Linked DNA regions of Rattus norvegicus. The protein of the gene in region 2 binds, or shares a complex with, the protein of the main gene of each other region. Links are inferred from orthologs where the notes say so. Each region holds a gene or a part of one and is shown on either strand. Other genes may lie near its edges.

The links.
Region 1: the proteins of Nfkb1 (region 2) and Txn1 are in contact, whole or in part, in an NMR structure (PDB 1MDI), measured with the Homo sapiens proteins. The link is inferred for Rattus norvegicus from reciprocal best matches to the Homo sapiens genes NFKB1 and TXN. Residues at the interface, in NP_001158884.1 of Homo sapiens: Arg56, Phe57, Arg58, Tyr59, Val60, Cys61, Glu62, Gly63, Pro64; in NP_003320.2 of Homo sapiens: Thr30, Trp31, Cys32, Pro34, Met37, Ile38, Asp58, Val59, Asp60, Asp61, Gln63, Ala66, Ser67, Val71, Lys72, Pro75, Ser90, Gly91, Ala92.
Region 3: the proteins of Nfkb1 (region 2) and Kpna4 are in contact, whole or in part, in a crystal structure (PDB 7LFC), measured with the Homo sapiens proteins. The link is inferred for Rattus norvegicus from reciprocal best matches to the Homo sapiens genes NFKB1 and KPNA4. Residues at the interface, in NP_001158884.1 of Homo sapiens: Glu357, Glu358, Val359, Gln360, Arg361, Lys362, Arg363, Gln364, Lys365, Leu366, Met367; in NP_002259.1 of Homo sapiens: Arg96, Lys97, Leu99, Ser100, Ser101, Asp102, Arg103, Pro105, Phe133, Trp137, Thr140, Asn141, Ala143, Ser144, Gly145, Thr146, Ser147, Thr150, Gln176, Trp179, Gly182, Asn183, Gly186, Asp187, Asn219, Trp222, Val225, Asn226, Arg229, His230.
Region 4: the proteins of Nfkb1 (region 2) and Nfkbia are in contact, whole or in part, in a crystal structure (PDB 1NFI), measured with the Homo sapiens proteins. The link is inferred for Rattus norvegicus from reciprocal best matches to the Homo sapiens genes NFKB1 and NFKBIA. Residues at the interface, in NP_001158884.1 of Homo sapiens: Lys251, Ile252, Val253, Arg254, Met255, Asp256, Arg257, Thr258, Ala259, Pro326, Lys345, Leu348, Tyr350, Ile353; in NP_065390.1 of Homo sapiens: Asn108, Asn109, Leu110, Gln111, Arg140, Tyr181, Pro214, Cys215, Asn216, Arg218, Tyr248, Gln249.

The regions. Positions count from the first base shown.
Region 1 is NC_086023.1:77,516,881-77,521,040, forward strand, and holds the start of Txn1 (thioredoxin), read right to left. Parts: upstream 2,806-4,160; coding exon 2,782-2,805; intron 1-2,781. UniProt on the Homo sapiens protein: Participates in various redox reactions through the reversible oxidation of its active center dithiol to a disulfide and catalyzes dithiol-disulfide exchange reactions.
Region 2 is NC_086020.1:226,697,416-226,700,976, reverse strand, and holds part of Nfkb1 (nuclear factor NF-kappa-B p105 subunit), read left to right. Parts: intron 1-1,286; coding exon 1,287-1,488; intron 1,489-1,920; coding exon 1,921-2,090; intron 2,091-2,382; coding exon 2,383-2,485; intron 2,486-3,561.
Region 3 is NC_086020.1:155,635,125-155,638,758, reverse strand, and holds the end of Kpna4 (importin subunit alpha-3), read left to right. Parts: intron 1-126; coding exon 127-221; intron 222-2,534; coding exon 2,535-2,633; 3' UTR 2,634-3,080; downstream 3,081-3,634. UniProt on the Homo sapiens protein: Functions in nuclear protein import as an adapter protein for nuclear receptor KPNB1. Binds specifically and directly to substrates containing either a simple or bipartite NLS motif.
Region 4 is NC_086024.1:78,594,271-78,598,520, reverse strand, and holds the start of Nfkbia (NF-kappa-B inhibitor alpha), read left to right. Parts: upstream 1-1,448; 5' UTR 1,449-1,567; coding exon 1,568-1,794; intron 1,795-2,303; coding exon 2,304-2,412; intron 2,413-2,743; coding exon 2,744-2,954; intron 2,955-3,224; coding exon 3,225-3,313; intron 3,314-3,406; coding exon 3,407-3,667; coding exon of another isoform or gene 3,668-3,754; exon of another isoform or gene 3,755-4,127; coding exon 4,128-4,175; 3' UTR 4,176-4,250. UniProt on the Homo sapiens protein: Inhibits the activity of dimeric NF-kappa-B/REL complexes by trapping REL (RELA/p65 and NFKB1/p50) dimers in the cytoplasm by masking their nuclear localization signals.

The DNA.
Region 1 (4,160 bases), on a different chromosome or scaffold from region 2:
GTTTTCATGTATACTTATTTTAATTTCTATTTATTTATTCATTTTATTTATTTATGAACATCAATGTTTTTGTCTGCATGTAATTATGTACCTGACTTGTGTGTCTGGTGCCTTCAGAGGCCAGAAGAGGGCATTATTAGATGCTTTGGAACTGGAGTTACAGATGGTTAGAAGCCACCACGAGGGTGTTGGGAATTGAACCCCACCCTTATCTTATGAAAGAACACCCAGTCCTCTTATCTGCTGAGCTATCTCTTTGGCCCTAGGTACAGTTTTTAATTTCTATCTCACATTTTTTTTTCAGTAAAAATAATCCCATGTCATTTCTGAGGACCCTACAGAATGGCTATGACAACCTTAGGAGCTGTCTAGTCAGACCGCCCTCCCCTCCCCCGCCATCTGTTGGTCCACATCTGGGTATGAACAGCACCCAAGTGTTAGGGTCAGGAGGTGGGAATGCAGTGGAGAGCAATGGAAGCCACAGTTCAAACCACCACTGGTTGTTGCAGATGAATGTCATACAAAACCTCCCTTAACGTAGCCATCAGAGGCCACACTGCCTATTCTTTATTGTAAGACACAGGGCAAAATGGTGTGGCAGGCTGCTCTGATGACACCTGGACCATGGCTGATCCTCAATAGTAAGAACTTGGTGAGATTACATGAAAAACAGGACAAGCTGCATTTCAAACACTCTCAAGGGGTCCCCCCAAAAGCTATGAGTCAAAACCAGGCAAAACTACTCAAAATACTGAAAAAGTGGCTCACAATCCTAATCTTTGGCTTCAGGGAACACGAAGTACAGAGGCAGGGATGTGCGAACTTCACCAACAAGTTTTCTTTTGCAGATGTGTAAGCTTGCCTGGAGTATTGGCTTGAAGACTATTCATACAACATTCAAAATTGCAAGTCACAATTTCTAGCTCCAGAAACCAATAACCACAGTTGGCAAGTGTCTTTGTCACTTACACCAATAACCTGGAGACAAAACACACCTGGAGTAGACTGGAGCAGATGCTACTCTCTCTCTCTTGTCTCAAATATACCCAGCCAGGGGCTGGCAAGATGGCTCAGCAGATTAAAGTGCTTGCCACCACGACCAAGGAACCGAGTTCAATACCCATGACCCACAAGGTAGAAGCGAGTCAACCCTCTCAAATTGTCCTCTGACCTCCGAAAATGGATGCCCCACCCCATACGTGAATGTGAACCAAAACAGAAAGTCCCCAACAACAACAAAACCATAATCAGCCCAAAGGACAATACAAAGTGTTCTTTGCTTTTTTTGAGACAGTCCAGTCTCTTGAGTGCTAGTGACTAGAGACATGGCCAACACCCTGGTCTAACATGTGTTCTGTGAAGCACTCAGCAAAGTGCCTTGTGTGTAGTTCAACAAATAGTTTTATTCATAAAAATAAATAAACAAGGCAAACATCTGCTGATTTCTGCTCCATTATATCATAGCCTATTATTCCACTCCTGTGTGGTGACAGACCCCAAGGGCCTTTAACTACCCACACAGTCCTCAGAAACACGGCTATTCTGCATGGCTAAATCAATCAACCTAAGCCCATCAGATGAAATTCATGTGTATTCAGTTAACTTCTGACTCTGGGGCAACTCTTAAAGTCTTGGTAATAGCTTTTTGGAGCCCAAGCTTTTTATGAATAACTGGTTTCCTGTCACCAATGTACACACACCTCTCCTACTGGAATGGCAAAGGTTTCATAAGTAGGGCAGTTTAAACAGATAAGGACCCAACTGGCTGCTGGGACTAATACAACTGGTAGTGGGTGGCTTCTGAGCAAACTTCTGTACTGAGACCCAACCAGATGCTCAAAACTGGAGGGCGCTGACTTGCCTTCCACGGACTTCCTAGTTTAAGGTTGAACTTGTGAGACAGTCTTCCACACATCAATTCCCACCCCCAATCCCCTTTCACTTTCCATTTAATAAATACTGCCCGAGTAGTTACAGTGTAACAGGCTCTGGGTTTCCCAATCTGGAGGATATTTTGGTTCTCAGTAACTTTCGAATATGGTAACAGTTTTTCCCTTGGGTATTTTTTTTCTTTTCCCAAAGGGCAGAACCACCAGGACTTTGTACTGGACTACTGCCAGGGGAAGAAGAGCCCTGGTTCCAGCAAAGCTTACGGGAGGGTCAATCACCGAATTCTTAAGGCTGCGAGGCCCCTGGGCCCAGCCATAGGGGACTGAGTCATTCCAAAGCCAGAGCTGCCGGAAACACGCCTTGCGCCGCAGGAGGAGGAGTCTCTCGGGCGCGGCCTGGACCTTTTTCCCTAGCAGTCACCTAGGTACCCCGTCCGATGGTTTCTAACTGGGACCCGGGACCCACACCCATACACCGACCCGGCCAGCGTCCTCTAGGCGGCGGGCCACTGATAGAGGAAAACTATGGCCGAGCCCTGAGGTACAGCACACCCGCGCGGTGTATAGCACCCCGTACGCGAGGAGTGGCGACTCTCCATCTTCTCCCAGACCCGAATCCTGATTCAGTTGGGGCATAGGGCGAGCTGTCACTGGAGGACCCCCGTCCATCACTTCACCTCCGCCAGATTTAGGGTGGCAGTAGGGAGTGCAGCTCAGGTGCTGCCTAAGCGTGCACCTTCGGTACCAGGCGTTCCAGGGTCTCTCTGTCCCCTCCCCCAGGGCGTGCTCCACAGCCCAGAGCGCACACAGGCCCTGGGCCGCTCAGCCGGCAGGGATACCGAGGGTGTCTACTGAGCACCGCGGGGTGAGCGCGGGGCCGGGGCACGCATACCTTGCTCTCGATCAGCTTCACCATTTTGGCTGTTGCGGGGAGGGAGCCACACGAGTTTCGGCAGAACCCGATGGAAATGGATCCTAGGCACCCAACGGAGCTTGCAGCCGAGTGCGGCGCCCGCCTTCTCTTTATAGAGACAGGGCGGAGCGCGGCGGGGCGGGGCGGACGGGCACGCGCGGCGGGGACGAGCTCCCTCGCCTCCCGCGCCCGCCAAGGCGCCCCGGCAGGCCGCGCCCAGACCACGCCCCCAAAAGGTGGGGCGGTTTCCAAGGGGCGGGGCCAGAACAGGCCACTTGAGCAGCTCAGGGACTGTCCTAGTGCTGGCCTCGCTCCTGGCTGCCGTGCTCTAAGCCGCGGAACCAGAACCTTGGTTTCCAGGGGCGGAGCTAGCGCAGGCGCCTGAAGCAGCTTCGGGCTCTTCAGGCTCCAGACGCTGTCCTGCTCTCACCCCTTGGAAACCGTGTGTCCAGCTGCCCCAAGGACACTTTCACTGCGCACGGTGCCCGGAGGTAGATCGCGGCTCCCTTTCACACAGTAGAGCCCCTCTGGAATCACGTTGACCATGCCCCAAACAAATCTAAGTCAGATACTTCCAGACTGGGGCTGGGGACAACCCTAGGACTGCCCAGGCAGAGGTGTATCTTTCGACTAGGGCGGCCATGCTGCGGTTTGCCTCAAAGTGCTGAGTAACGATGACCAGGAAGTATCTCAGTGAGCGCCCTCGCTAACTTTCTGGGTAGTTCTTTGCCACTTCTTTCGCCTCTCCTTCATATTTCTTAACTTTAACAAGTGAACCTGCTACCGGAGAGGCACAGAGCCGTTTAGAGCCCCTGTTTTGTGCCCCATGCATATGCAGGCATGATAGAGATCGGATCGTCCAGCTCCCAGCGTTGTCTTGAAGGATTTAAAGAGCTTGAAAATGGACCAGGACAGCGCTTGGCCCATAAGGAAGCACTCAATAAATTATTGTAATTATAGTCATCGTGAGCGCTAATTAAGCTTGCGTGGTGCCGTGTGGGGCCTTGCTGAATTTGCCTGCCTTGTATTTACAATGACAGTATATAAGCATTGAGAATTTTCTGCCTGGGAGACCCCAGGAAGCGTGTTTGTCAATGATTACTGGGGTGGTGTGCAGGAGGACGGGGCAGCGTGGTGGAAGCTAAGACACGGTTAAGGTGTCTTTGTGCAGCCTGGAGTGCCCCTCTGCTGAAGAAGCTGAGGTGGAGACTGGCCAGAGCCAGCATGCTGGGAGGAACTTGCCTAGCCTGAGTTTGTGGAGCAGAGCTAACCTAGCTAAATCTGCATCCGGAGATGAGGTACTGGAGATGCTGAAATTGTTTTCCAGCCACCCTACCCTACCCACTGGCTTCCTTGGT
Region 2 (3,561 bases):
ATCCATCAGTTCCATGGACAGCTTGTTTGTTCTCATTGCTTCTGAGGAGAATGCTGCAGTAAGCACCTGCACCATGCCTACCTGTCCATCTGTGACAGAAGCGGGTTACTAGGACAGTTTGAACACTGAGCTCCACAGATCGATTCTAGGGATATCTTGAGACACACATTTTATACGAGTTTAAGATACAATCCTAGGGGTTAAGATCTAGACACCTAAAGTATCACCGTGGTGATTTGTGTTGGTGGCCCACCTGCCGCTGCCTCTCCAGCGGGAACTAATTATTCCCTGAATGGGAGTCCTCACTACGCAGCCTGGAGTTCACTGTAAAGCTCCAGCGAGACAGACTGGCTGACACTGAAAGGTGTCACTCTCCATCAGTGACCTCAGTTCTTTGACGGACACTTTCATGATTGTGTTGACCTTGCTCGTTTCTGAAAACAGTTTTCCATGCATCCTCCTTACACCCACGGAAGCACAACTTTGTAGTCAGGGTAGTCAGAAAGACTTTCCTGTGCCTTTTATGCACAGTAGCTGGGGTTGTTTTCCGCCTGAGCTTTCTTGGGGCGAGTGTTGTATTGGGTGGCTGTGCCAAGGAGAACCCGGCAATACCTTTGGTAGCACGGCAGTATCGCTTGTAACTGTGGCTCTCTTGAAGCCAGCCTGTAGCACCGTGTTCTGGTTTAGCATGTGTATTTCCATACTATTGTGAAGGACGGCCCCTTTCTTGATTGCTTTCTTTTAATAGTGTATTTACATTTCCTTGTTAAAACCACAGCATTGGGGGCTGCAAAGATGGCTCAGTGGTTAAGAGCACTGACTGCTCTTCCAGAGGTCCTGAGTTCAAATCCCAGCAACCACACGGTGGCTCACAACCATCTGTAATGGGATCTGGTGCCCTCTTCTGGTGTGTCTGAGGACAGCGATAATGTACTTATATATAATAAATAAATGAATCTTAAAGAAAAAAAAAAACACAGCATTGGTTGGATTTGACAATGTGTAGAATTACCAGGTATAGATTCCTATCAGAAATTCAAAAAAGCTTAATTTTACTTCTACATGGCTTAAAAAATCATTTAGTAAAACTACTAAGCATTTTAAGTTTATTCTATAACCCTGACTGTTGGATGCTGGTGCCCTTCTTGGGCCTTTGAGCCTGGCATGTGGAACAGAAAGCCCCTTGAATGACAGATGTCCCTGCAGCGTGACTCCATGGCATAGTTCTGAAGCCAGGGGTTACAGATGTTCATAACCAACGGCTCTCCTGCTCCTTCTCTATGTAGACACCTTTGCACTTGGCCGTGATCACCAAGCAGGAAGATGTGGTGGAGGACTTGCTGAGGGTTGGGGCTGACCTGAGTCTTCTGGACCGCTGGGGCAACTCTGTCCTGCACCTAGCTGCCAAAGAAGGACATGATAAAATCCTCGGGGTCCTACTCAAGAACAGCAAGGCAGCACTCCTTATCAACCACCCCAACGGGGAAGGTAAGGGCAGTCACGCTGCTGGCTAACCTTCCCCTGCCGGCTGCTGCAGAAGAGCTTGGCATTTGGTAAATGTATCTGACTTTCACCATACTCCCCTCTGCCAGCCGGAGTTCCTCAGATGTCGTGGTTATTTCTGCTGTTTACCCTTAAAGATGACTCGGGAAAGTTACTTAGTAAGTGGGAAAGCAGGCCTGGGCAAACACTAGTCTTACAGAAAGCATCACATATGTGGAGAATGTTTATTTGGTAGCTCATTGTCTCCCGTGAGCACAATAGGAGCTCGTGGCTTCTAAAAACAGAACAGTGGACCTTCTGAGCCTTTGAAGCAAGCCCTGAACAAAAACCGGAAGTGCCGTGACCTGGCGGTGTCCCTCCTCCCCACAGCCCAGCTCTGGCAACCTTGCCCACATCTCTGCCTTTGCTTGGCCTTAGGTCTGAATGCCATTCACATAGCTGTGATGAGCAACAGCCTGTCATGTCTGCAGCTGCTTGTGGCTGCTGGGGCAGAAGTCAACGCTCAGGAGCAGAAGTCTGGGCGCACGGCACTGCACCTGGCCGTGGAGTACGACAACATCTCGTTGGCCGGCTGCCTGCTCCTGGAGGTAAAGGACGCCCTTGTGATCTTGAACTAAACGCCCTCAAGGAACTTTGCAAAGAGTGACGCTAGGACCAGCTGTGCTGTCAGCATTCAGCTCTGCCTGGCATCTGCTGGTGCTCAGAGAGGCCACTTCCTGCGTCCCCACCTCCAGCCCAGCTCCCTAACTGGGGGACTTCTCCAGTGACAGAGCCAGCTCAGTCTAGCAATTGGGCTAACAATATAACCTGAGGATCCATGGAGATATGGAGGTAGACAAATGAGCCTTCTGCTAACTCTCTCTTTGTGGGTGGGTTTAGGGTGACGCCCTCGTGGACAGCACCACCTACGATGGGACGACACCTCTACACATAGCAGCTGGAAGAGGGTCCACCAGGCTGGCAGCTCTTCTCAAAGCAGCAGGTAAGATGCTGCTGGTCACTGATGGACATCAGCAAAGCAAACTCTGCCTGCAAGTGCAATGCTGCCTTTGGAAGCTGCACTTCTGCTCTGGGGAAGCCTGGGTAAATGAAAACCGCATGGCTGGTCACACTTCAGCTGCAGTGAGGCTCAGTGTGGCCTGATAACCTGGGGTTGACACCTGTGTTAGTTTCCTCCCCCTGGTTAGCTGTCTATGTCGGGTTGTTCAGGTTGACTCAGTGACTATAAAATCTTAAGCTCTGTCAGTTTCTGGTCCTATTACAAGTCTCCCAGAAGGAACATATCTAAAGACTTCCTTTTGCAAAAAGAGTCTCCTAGAAGCCAAAGTCGTAGGAAAAGCAAACGGGCCATGTATTCGTATTATTGTGCATGAGGCCTTTCCTGTGTTCCAGGCACCGTGTTGACATCTCACATGCAGCCTCCTTTAGCACACGTAATCCTCAGTAACTCTGAGACAAGACATGTTGCTATTCCTATCTTAGATCCAAGTAGGCAGACTGGAGAGGTGATCAAGCCCCACTCCCAGTGTCTCAGAGAGCTGTGAGTCACAGCGCCACAGCCCAACCTGCAGACTTATCCTCCACACAGTGTTCCTCTCAGTTGGCCTGGGGTTCTTGGGTTCTTCTGGTTAGCTCCCTAGTCCTGTAAAGCACAGGGAGACATTGCAGCTCAGCTCCTGTCTCCAGTGCCTAGTGTGTTTAGTGTTAACACATGGTGGGTGAGATTGGCATTCCGGGCCTGTCCAGACATAACCTGACTTACCTCAGAGGTTGATAAGGGAAGATTTGTGGACGACACACTCTTCACAGATTCAGGCAAAGAGGCCCTGGTTGTGTTGTGCGTGAGTCATTTTGGAAATCACTTACTATGCTGAAGAGAAAAAAAAAATGTTGTCTCTTAGTCAGACATAGTGACGTACACCTGAAATCTCAACTTTTAGAAAGCTGAGGCAGGAGAATTGCCACAAGCTTAGGTTACCTTGGTCTACATAGTTCCAGGCCAAACCAAGATGCCTAGGGAGGTCCTGTCTCAACAGTAAATGCATGAATAGAATGGCA
Region 3 (3,634 bases), about 71 Mb from region 2:
AAATGACCCCTAAAGACGATAACCCAGAAATTTTATAGTACAGAGATTGCATTATGTGTTTCAAAGTTACTGTAACTTCTAGCAACACATTAATTGCTATTGTTCACTTCATAAAATTTCTTGCAGGACTGGAGAAAATTGAACAACTTCAGAATCATGAAAATGAGGACATCTACAAATTGGCCTATGAGATCATTGACCAGTTCTTCTCTTCAGATGATGTACTTAATATGTTTATCATTTTCTTAGTTTTATATGCTAAGCAAATCTGAATGAAAGAATATAGTAAACTAGGATGTATATATAAAAATTTTTTCAATAGAAGTCTTAATAGGTATGTGACAATAATATTACTGTCTTTGAAAACAAATTTTAGTATTTTTAAATCTGGTTAGGACATTAACTCAAGAACAAAACAATAAGAATTTTTGTTGCACTGGATAAGCTGATTTCTTTCCAGTTCTCACGCATTTAAATTGGTAATAGTATGTCTATAAACGAAACAGAAAATAGTGATACCAAGCATAATGGCACTCAACTATAATTCCACCACTTCAGAGCTAATGCAGAAGAAAGACTAGGAAATGAATTGAAGGGTGTTCTTGGCTATGTAGTGATTTCAAGGCCAGCCTGGACTATGTGAAACTCTGCCTCAAAAAAGAAATCAAAAGTCAAGCAAACAAAACTAGTAGTACTAGTATAACCTACAGTAACCCCTTAATCCATATGTTCAAGTGTAATTTTGTTGGTGGTTAAAATCAAATAAGATGACGAAACAAGATGAGCACAGTAAATCATGAAAATGAACGGTATATACAATATGATGTGGAATGTTACAAAGTTACATTTATTCATAGTACCACCAAATAACAATTGTAAGTAAAGGATTGTTTATTTGGTTGGGTTTTATTAAAAAATGTTTTGCTGTATATGCCTGACTGTCCTTTGAACTTGGAGCAGTCTTCCTATCTAGCCTTCCAAGTGCTCCTTTTGGGTGTAAGGCACACACCACTACACTCTATATGAATTATGTTTTCAACTTTTCAAGATACAAGTTTCAGGGCTGGAGAAATGCACTGGGAGGAAGATGTTAAGAGGCCCGGCTTCTCTTCCAGAGAACCCAGGGTCAATTACCAGCTCCTACTTGGTGGCTCACAACCATCTGTAGCTCTAATTCCAGGGAATCCAAAGCCGCCTTCTTGCTTTCCTGAGTACCAGCTACCCCTGTGATTCACAGACATACATGCAGGCAAAATGCCCATGTAAATAACCAAAATTTTTAAGAACTCTAGTTTCATAACACATTTCCACATTACTAAAAAGAATAAAGCATTAGAAAAAGAAAATCATAGGCTATTAGACCATAGGACTAACAAGGGGACTCATAGAGTAAAGGCTGACAATCTAAATTCAGTACCCAGAACCATCCTATGTGATGGAAGGAGAGCACCCCAACTCTCCCAAGTTGTCCCCTGACCTCCACATGTATCCCATGTGGCATATGCCCCCACATGATAGATGGTGGGTGGGTGGGTGGGTGGATGGATGGATGGATGGATGGATGGATGGATGGATGGATGGATGCAACCAAGCAAATAGAGAAAACCAGCCTGGAGAGTTCACTCGGCAGTTAAGAGCACTTACTACTCTTGTGGTGGACCCACTGGTTTCTAAAACCCAAACAAATAGAAAAAGGATGTCGACACAAATCTTATTTAAATATGCAGTTAAATACATCATAAATAAGATCCAGACAAAACATACTCTCAAGGAAAGATGGTCTTAATCATGTCCCCTTTTGTTTGTTTTGTTTTTGTTTTTCAAGACTGGGTTTCTTTGTATAACAGTTCTCGCTGTCCTGTAACTTGTGCTTGTAGACCAGGCTGTCCTCCAATTCACAGAGATCCACTTGCCACTGCCTCCCAAATACTGGGATTAAAGGCCTGTGCCACCACCACCCAAATATTCAATTTGGAAGTCCTAAGTTGTAGTTAGGAATAGCAGAGTTACACAGTTCTAAAAGTATAAAGAGTGCATTTACTCCTGCTAATACATGTTTGTTTGTTTGAAGATTCGGGTTGTGCTTTTTGAGGCAGGTTCTTATATTGTGTATCACTGGATGACCTAGAACTCCCCGTGTAGATGAAACTCACAGGTAGTTCTTCGCTTTCCCTTCCCAAGTGCCGAGGTCAGTGCATGTGCCACCACGCCTCCCAAGTATAAGAGAGTATACTTCCTTACACTGTCTTAGATATAAGAGGAGTTACAGTGAGTACCAGTATTTACCCTCGCATTTAGAGTCTGAGGCCGGCTCCAGTGTTCTATTTCATAAGGTGTCCATCATGTATATTCTTGTTTCTTCACAGCCCTTAAGGAAGGAGTTTACAGGTGTTAGGATGGTAGTACATTCTTGGCAGACACTCATCACTTAGATGTGGTCTATCTTTTTAGAGAATAATGGGACTATTACTGTGATTCAGGTTTTTTATACTTTAAGACTAATCATCTCATTGTTTTTTCCTCTTTTCCTTCAGATTGATGAAGATCCTAGCCTTGTTCCAGAGTCAGTTCAAGGTGGAACATTTGGTTTCAATTCATCTACCAATGTACCAACAGAGGGGTTCCAGTTTTAGAGAGATGTTGTGGAAGTTAGGTACAATGCAGCACCGAGAAATATATATATATATACACATATATATAAAAAGGTTTGATCCATCAAGCTTGGCTCATGGGATCTGCTGCTGCATTAAATCGGGAGAGAAAATGTGAAGATTTCATTTGGAATCACAGAAAATGCCCAAATGAGTCAAGGTGGCGAGTGGGTGCGAGTGAGAATGAGTGGCAATGTAAGGAAAGCGTGACACAAATGCTTATTTAGGTTGAGAGTAAAGGGCTACAGGTCACTTCGGTGCCTGAGACGGAGCATTGACTTACTCTATCAATTGAGAAGTGAAATGCCATCATCATCAAGCCTTGTAAGCATAAAAGCGATGCCCATATAAGTCAAGGAAAATGAGCCCAGGCCTCGCTGTGAAGCAGTGTATGAATGAACAGTGTTGAATGAATGTCTGGCTCCGTGGTAGAGAAAGAGCCAGGTTCATCTTTCAAATCTAGGGCTCTTCACGCATGAAGCAGACTCCTAGTCCTGGAGTGACTGTGTAAGAGAGTATGGTTGTGGTGCTGTATGTGGACGCATGCAAGCTTGATTTGCCTTCAGGGGGCTGATAACAAACCTAGTAGATCATCAAAGTGAGATCCCAAGTGTTAATGTACACTGGACATGAGAACAAAGACCGGTTTAGCAGCAGACACTGGTTTACTCTGCAGCCTGTGTTGTCTATTCTCCCTCTACCTTACCCCCACCCCACCCCACCCCACCCCACCCGACCCCAACCCTTTTTTTATTTAGTTTTTATTTACTTTACCTAGTATGGCTTTTTTAGTTGCTTCTCAAGTCAGAAAACTTCAGGAAGGTTTCCCTGTGCATTTGCACCAGATGAGTGTTTGATGCTATGAAAAGCTTTCCATATCATCAAAACTAATTTGTGTAGATTTTTGCATGAAAAAAAATCATAAATTTCCCTCACAATAGACTGTGTTGCAGTACACAAGTTGCCATAATAGTATAAAATGT
Region 4 (4,250 bases), on a different chromosome or scaffold from region 2:
GTGTGGAATTGAGGTCTCCTACTTAGGATCAGTCTCACTTTAATCCAGTAATTATACTTGCAGAGATGATGAAGAGGATTTGCTGAGGAAGTCTTAACTTTAACGTGACGTTGTTGTCTGGAAGTTTTTGTTTTTTCCTGGACTTTGAATCTTTTCCCCCAGTGTCCTCACTTTCATACTGTGGGGGAGGCAGTGGAATTACGAAGAGAGGAGAGTTGCTACAAGGCTCAACAAGAAAAAGATCACTCAAATTTCACCAGAAATCTATGCAGAACAGGAAGCCTACTGGGTCTATTCTGACAAACTGTGATCCAAGTTGCTTTAATTTTCCCGAGTTACCTCACACTTGCAGGCTCCTAAGTCGGGATGGGGTGGAAGCAACACTTCTACTTTTGCAGGTAAAACTAGGGGATCACAGGCCCAAATCCCTTTCTTGAGGAGTAGCCACCCACAATGCTGCGGTCCCTGGGAAGCAAGGAAGCTAGTAGAACCAGCAGGTTTCAGATGTGGTCAGTGTTAGGACTATGTTGAGCCTCCTGCAGGATGCTTCAAAGTTACTTTCTTAGCTATGTTTAAGAGGCTAGGGCACTAAACCAGTTGTTCTGCTAGGCATTCACAATAAGCTCCGGCTTTATTCTCTACAAGTTAACAAGTTAACTCCAACAGCAAGAACTCAACAGTTTCTGTTGCATGGAAGCTACAACTTCTACAAAGATTAACACCTTGCATTACTTGGGGGAAAATGTGGTTCCCATATGGAGCTAGACTTTGCCCCTCCCCCGCTGCCCCTCCCCCGGGCGAGATTATTGACCCCTCGGAATTAATCTAGGGGTTCTCCAGGCGCTTGGATTTTGTTGTTGTTGTTATTGGTTTTGTTTGTTTGAATGCCAAAGTGTCTACAGCTTCGAGGGGGGATGGTGAAGGGCAGCCAAATGTCCATGCACTGCAAAGAGCCTGAAACACAGACGACCCGGAATCACTCATACGTCCGTCGTCGCAGAAATTTAGGAGAAGCGAATCCCTGCACCCAGCCAGCCATTTCCACTCTTGGGTTTTCAAAAGATCAAGAACCGGAAAGGACCTGCAAATTGGCAAATCTCTAAGAGGAACAGCCTAGCAGGTTTGCGTCCTTGGAATCTCAGCAGCTTGGGACCCCAAACCAAAGTCGTCGGTGGGAAACCCCAGGGAAAGAAGGGCTCTTGTAGAACGCTGGGGTTACTGAGTGCAGGCTGCAGGGAAGTACCTAGAGGGAGGGGGCCTGGTCGGGAGGACTTTCCAGCCACTCAGGGCTCATCAAAAAGTTCCCTGTACATGACCCCAGTGGCTCATCGTAGGGAGTTTCTCTGATGAACCCCGGCCCTGGGTTTAGGCTTCTCAGTCGAGGACGAGCCAGTTCTTTTTCTAGTCTGACTGGCTTGGAAATTCCCCGCGCCTGACCCCGCCCCTGAGAAATCCCCTGCCAGCGTTTATAGGGCGCCGAGGCGGCGCTGCCGAGCCCACAACAGTCTGAACTCGCCACCCAACTGCCAGCAGCCTGCACCCTGCACCCGCTCAGCTCCGCACAGCCATGTTTCAGCCAGCTGGGCACGGCCAGGACTGGGCCATGGAGGGCCCGCGGGACGGCCTCAAGAAGGAGCGGTTGGTGGACGACCGCCACGACAGCGGCTTGGACTCCATGAAGGACGAGGATTACGAGCAGATGGTGAAGGAGCTGCGGGAGATCCGCCTGCAGCCGCAGGAGGCGCCTCTGGCTGCCGAGCCCTGGAAGCAACAGCTCACGGAGGACGGAGACTCGTAAGTGGCGGCGGGCTCGGGCATGGGCACGGGCGGGGTCGCGCGGGGCCTGCACCGCGCTCGGGGCTCTGCACGGCGGGGCTGCGGGGCTACGGGGCTACAGAGCTGCGGGCGCCGGGCCGCCTGCCTCCCCATCCCCCCACCCCATTTCCCGGGACCCGGAGTAGCCGAGCGCAGGCCGGGGGCGGGGCGGCAACGAGGACGCAAAGTCCCCGCCTGGCAGAGTTTCCGCGCAGCCGCCGGGCGCTGCGCGGCCGCGAGGGGAAGTACAGGGCGTTCCGGGCGGCGGAGGGCGGGCCGGTCTGGCCGGCGCCCGCCCGGAGGGGGTGGGGCACGGAAAGTCCCTGGGCGGCTGCCAGGAACACTCAGCTCATAATAACCTCGCGGAAAACACCGCGGCCGCGGCCTCCAGAAACCCCGGCCTTGCGCAATCCCCCGCAGCCCGCGCCTCTCGGGGGCCCCACGCAGTGCGCTCACCACCCCTGGGGGGTTTCCCTGTCATCCCGCAGGTTCCTGCACTTGGCAATCATCCATGAAGAGAAGACACTGACCATGGAAGTGATTGGTCAGGTGAAGGGAGACCTGGCCTTCCTCAACTTCCAGAACAACCTGCAGCAGGTGCGGGCTTGCCCAGCTGTGCCCTCTTTGACCCCGTGGTGGAGTTAGATGAAGCTCAGTCGCCCCCAAAGCGTTTCTAAATTAACAGTCACGGTCCTTATCTGCCCTGGCCTTTTACATTCAAATTAGCCAAAGTCTTAGAGCAAGAAGGAAAATCCCAAGGGTTGGTTGAGGTCTTTATGACCCACGTAGGGCCTCCTGTTTGCCTGATCTCCTGTAGACAAATGGGAGGAGGGGATTCTGTAATAGGAGGTGTCTGGGGTTCAGGAAACTCAAGACTATGGGTTTGCTCCATGGCTTAGGCTCTTTCTGTTTCCTCTTCCATTCGTAGACTCCACTCCACTTGGCTGTGATCACCAACCAGCCAGGAATTGCTGAGGCACTTCTGAAAGCTGGCTGTGATCCTGAGCTCCGAGACTTTCGAGGAAATACCCCTCTCCATCTTGCCTGTGAGCAGGGCTGCCTGGCCAGTGTAGCAGTCTTGACTCAGACCTGTACGCCCCAGCATCTCCACTCCGTCCTGCAGGCCACCAACTACAACGGTAGGTCTGCCAGTCCATCCAGGGACGCAGAGAAGGGAGAGACGGGTCCCCTTGAGTCTAGCCTGGAGCTAAAACGCCTCAACGTATAAGAAGTTCAGGCAGTGTGGACTTTTAAAAAGTCTTCTCCATGATTCCTACATGACGTTCACTGAGAACCCAGACTTTTGAGTTCTTCAAAATTGAGGTTGTTTGTGGTTGTCCCCAAGAAAGGAGACGTGACTTGTGTGAGGATTGAAACAAGTGGTTACAGTTCCGTCTTATATCCTGCAGGCCACACGTGTCTACACTTAGCCTCTATCCATGGCTACCTGGGCATCGTGGAGCACTTGGTGACTTTGGGTGCTGATGTCAACGCTCAGGTGAGTACTTCCCCTTCCTCCTAAACTCTGCTGGGCTGGCTCTTACTGTGAGCAGATTTCCAGATAAACACTTCTGATTGCCTTTGGTTTCAGGAGCCCTGTAATGGCCGGACAGCCCTCCACCTTGCAGTGGACCTGCAGAATCCTGACCTGGTCTCGCTCCTGTTGAAGTGTGGGGCTGATGTCAACAGAGTAACCTACCAGGGCTACTCCCCCTACCAGCTTACGTGGGGCCGCCCAAGTACCCGGATACAGCAGCAGCTGGGCCAGCTGACCCTGGAAAATCTTCAGACGCTGCCCGAGAGTGAGGATGAGGAGAGCTATGACACGGAGTCAGAATTCACGGAAGATGAGGTGCGTGTTCATTACTGCCAGAGTGGTCCATTCTCCCTCACCACACCTAGGTCTGTTCTAGAGCTGTTCTGTATCATAGGGACCTGAGTTATTCAACTTCTCAGTCTCAGCTTGCAAAGCCAGGATCCCAAGAACGTGTCTCTGGTTTGCTTTAATAGCTTACCCTTGTGGGTTTCGGAATGGGGCAGTAAGAGGGAGTTGTGGGAATTGAACCCAGGCTTTAACACGTGGTAATAGGCACATGTTCTACCATTGAGCTATGTCCCCTGCAATAGCTTAGACTTTTGAAAGGAGAGAATTGGTGAAGGGAACTCCTGCAGCCCGGCGCCTGCGTTCTGTTTAGGCTGAGGAGGAGAGAGTCCAGGAATGGGAGTTATTTGTAGAAGCAGCTCTCCCGCCATCCCAATGGCTTGGCGAAGTTCTAGGAATCTAATGTGCCTTTTTCCCTCTCTTGTTCCAGTTGCCCTACGATGACTGTGTGTTTGGAGGCCAGCGTCTGACGTTATAAGAGGAAAGTGGCCAAAGGAACGTGGACTTGTATATTTGTACAAATAGAGTTTTATTTTTCTAAAAAAAAAAAAGA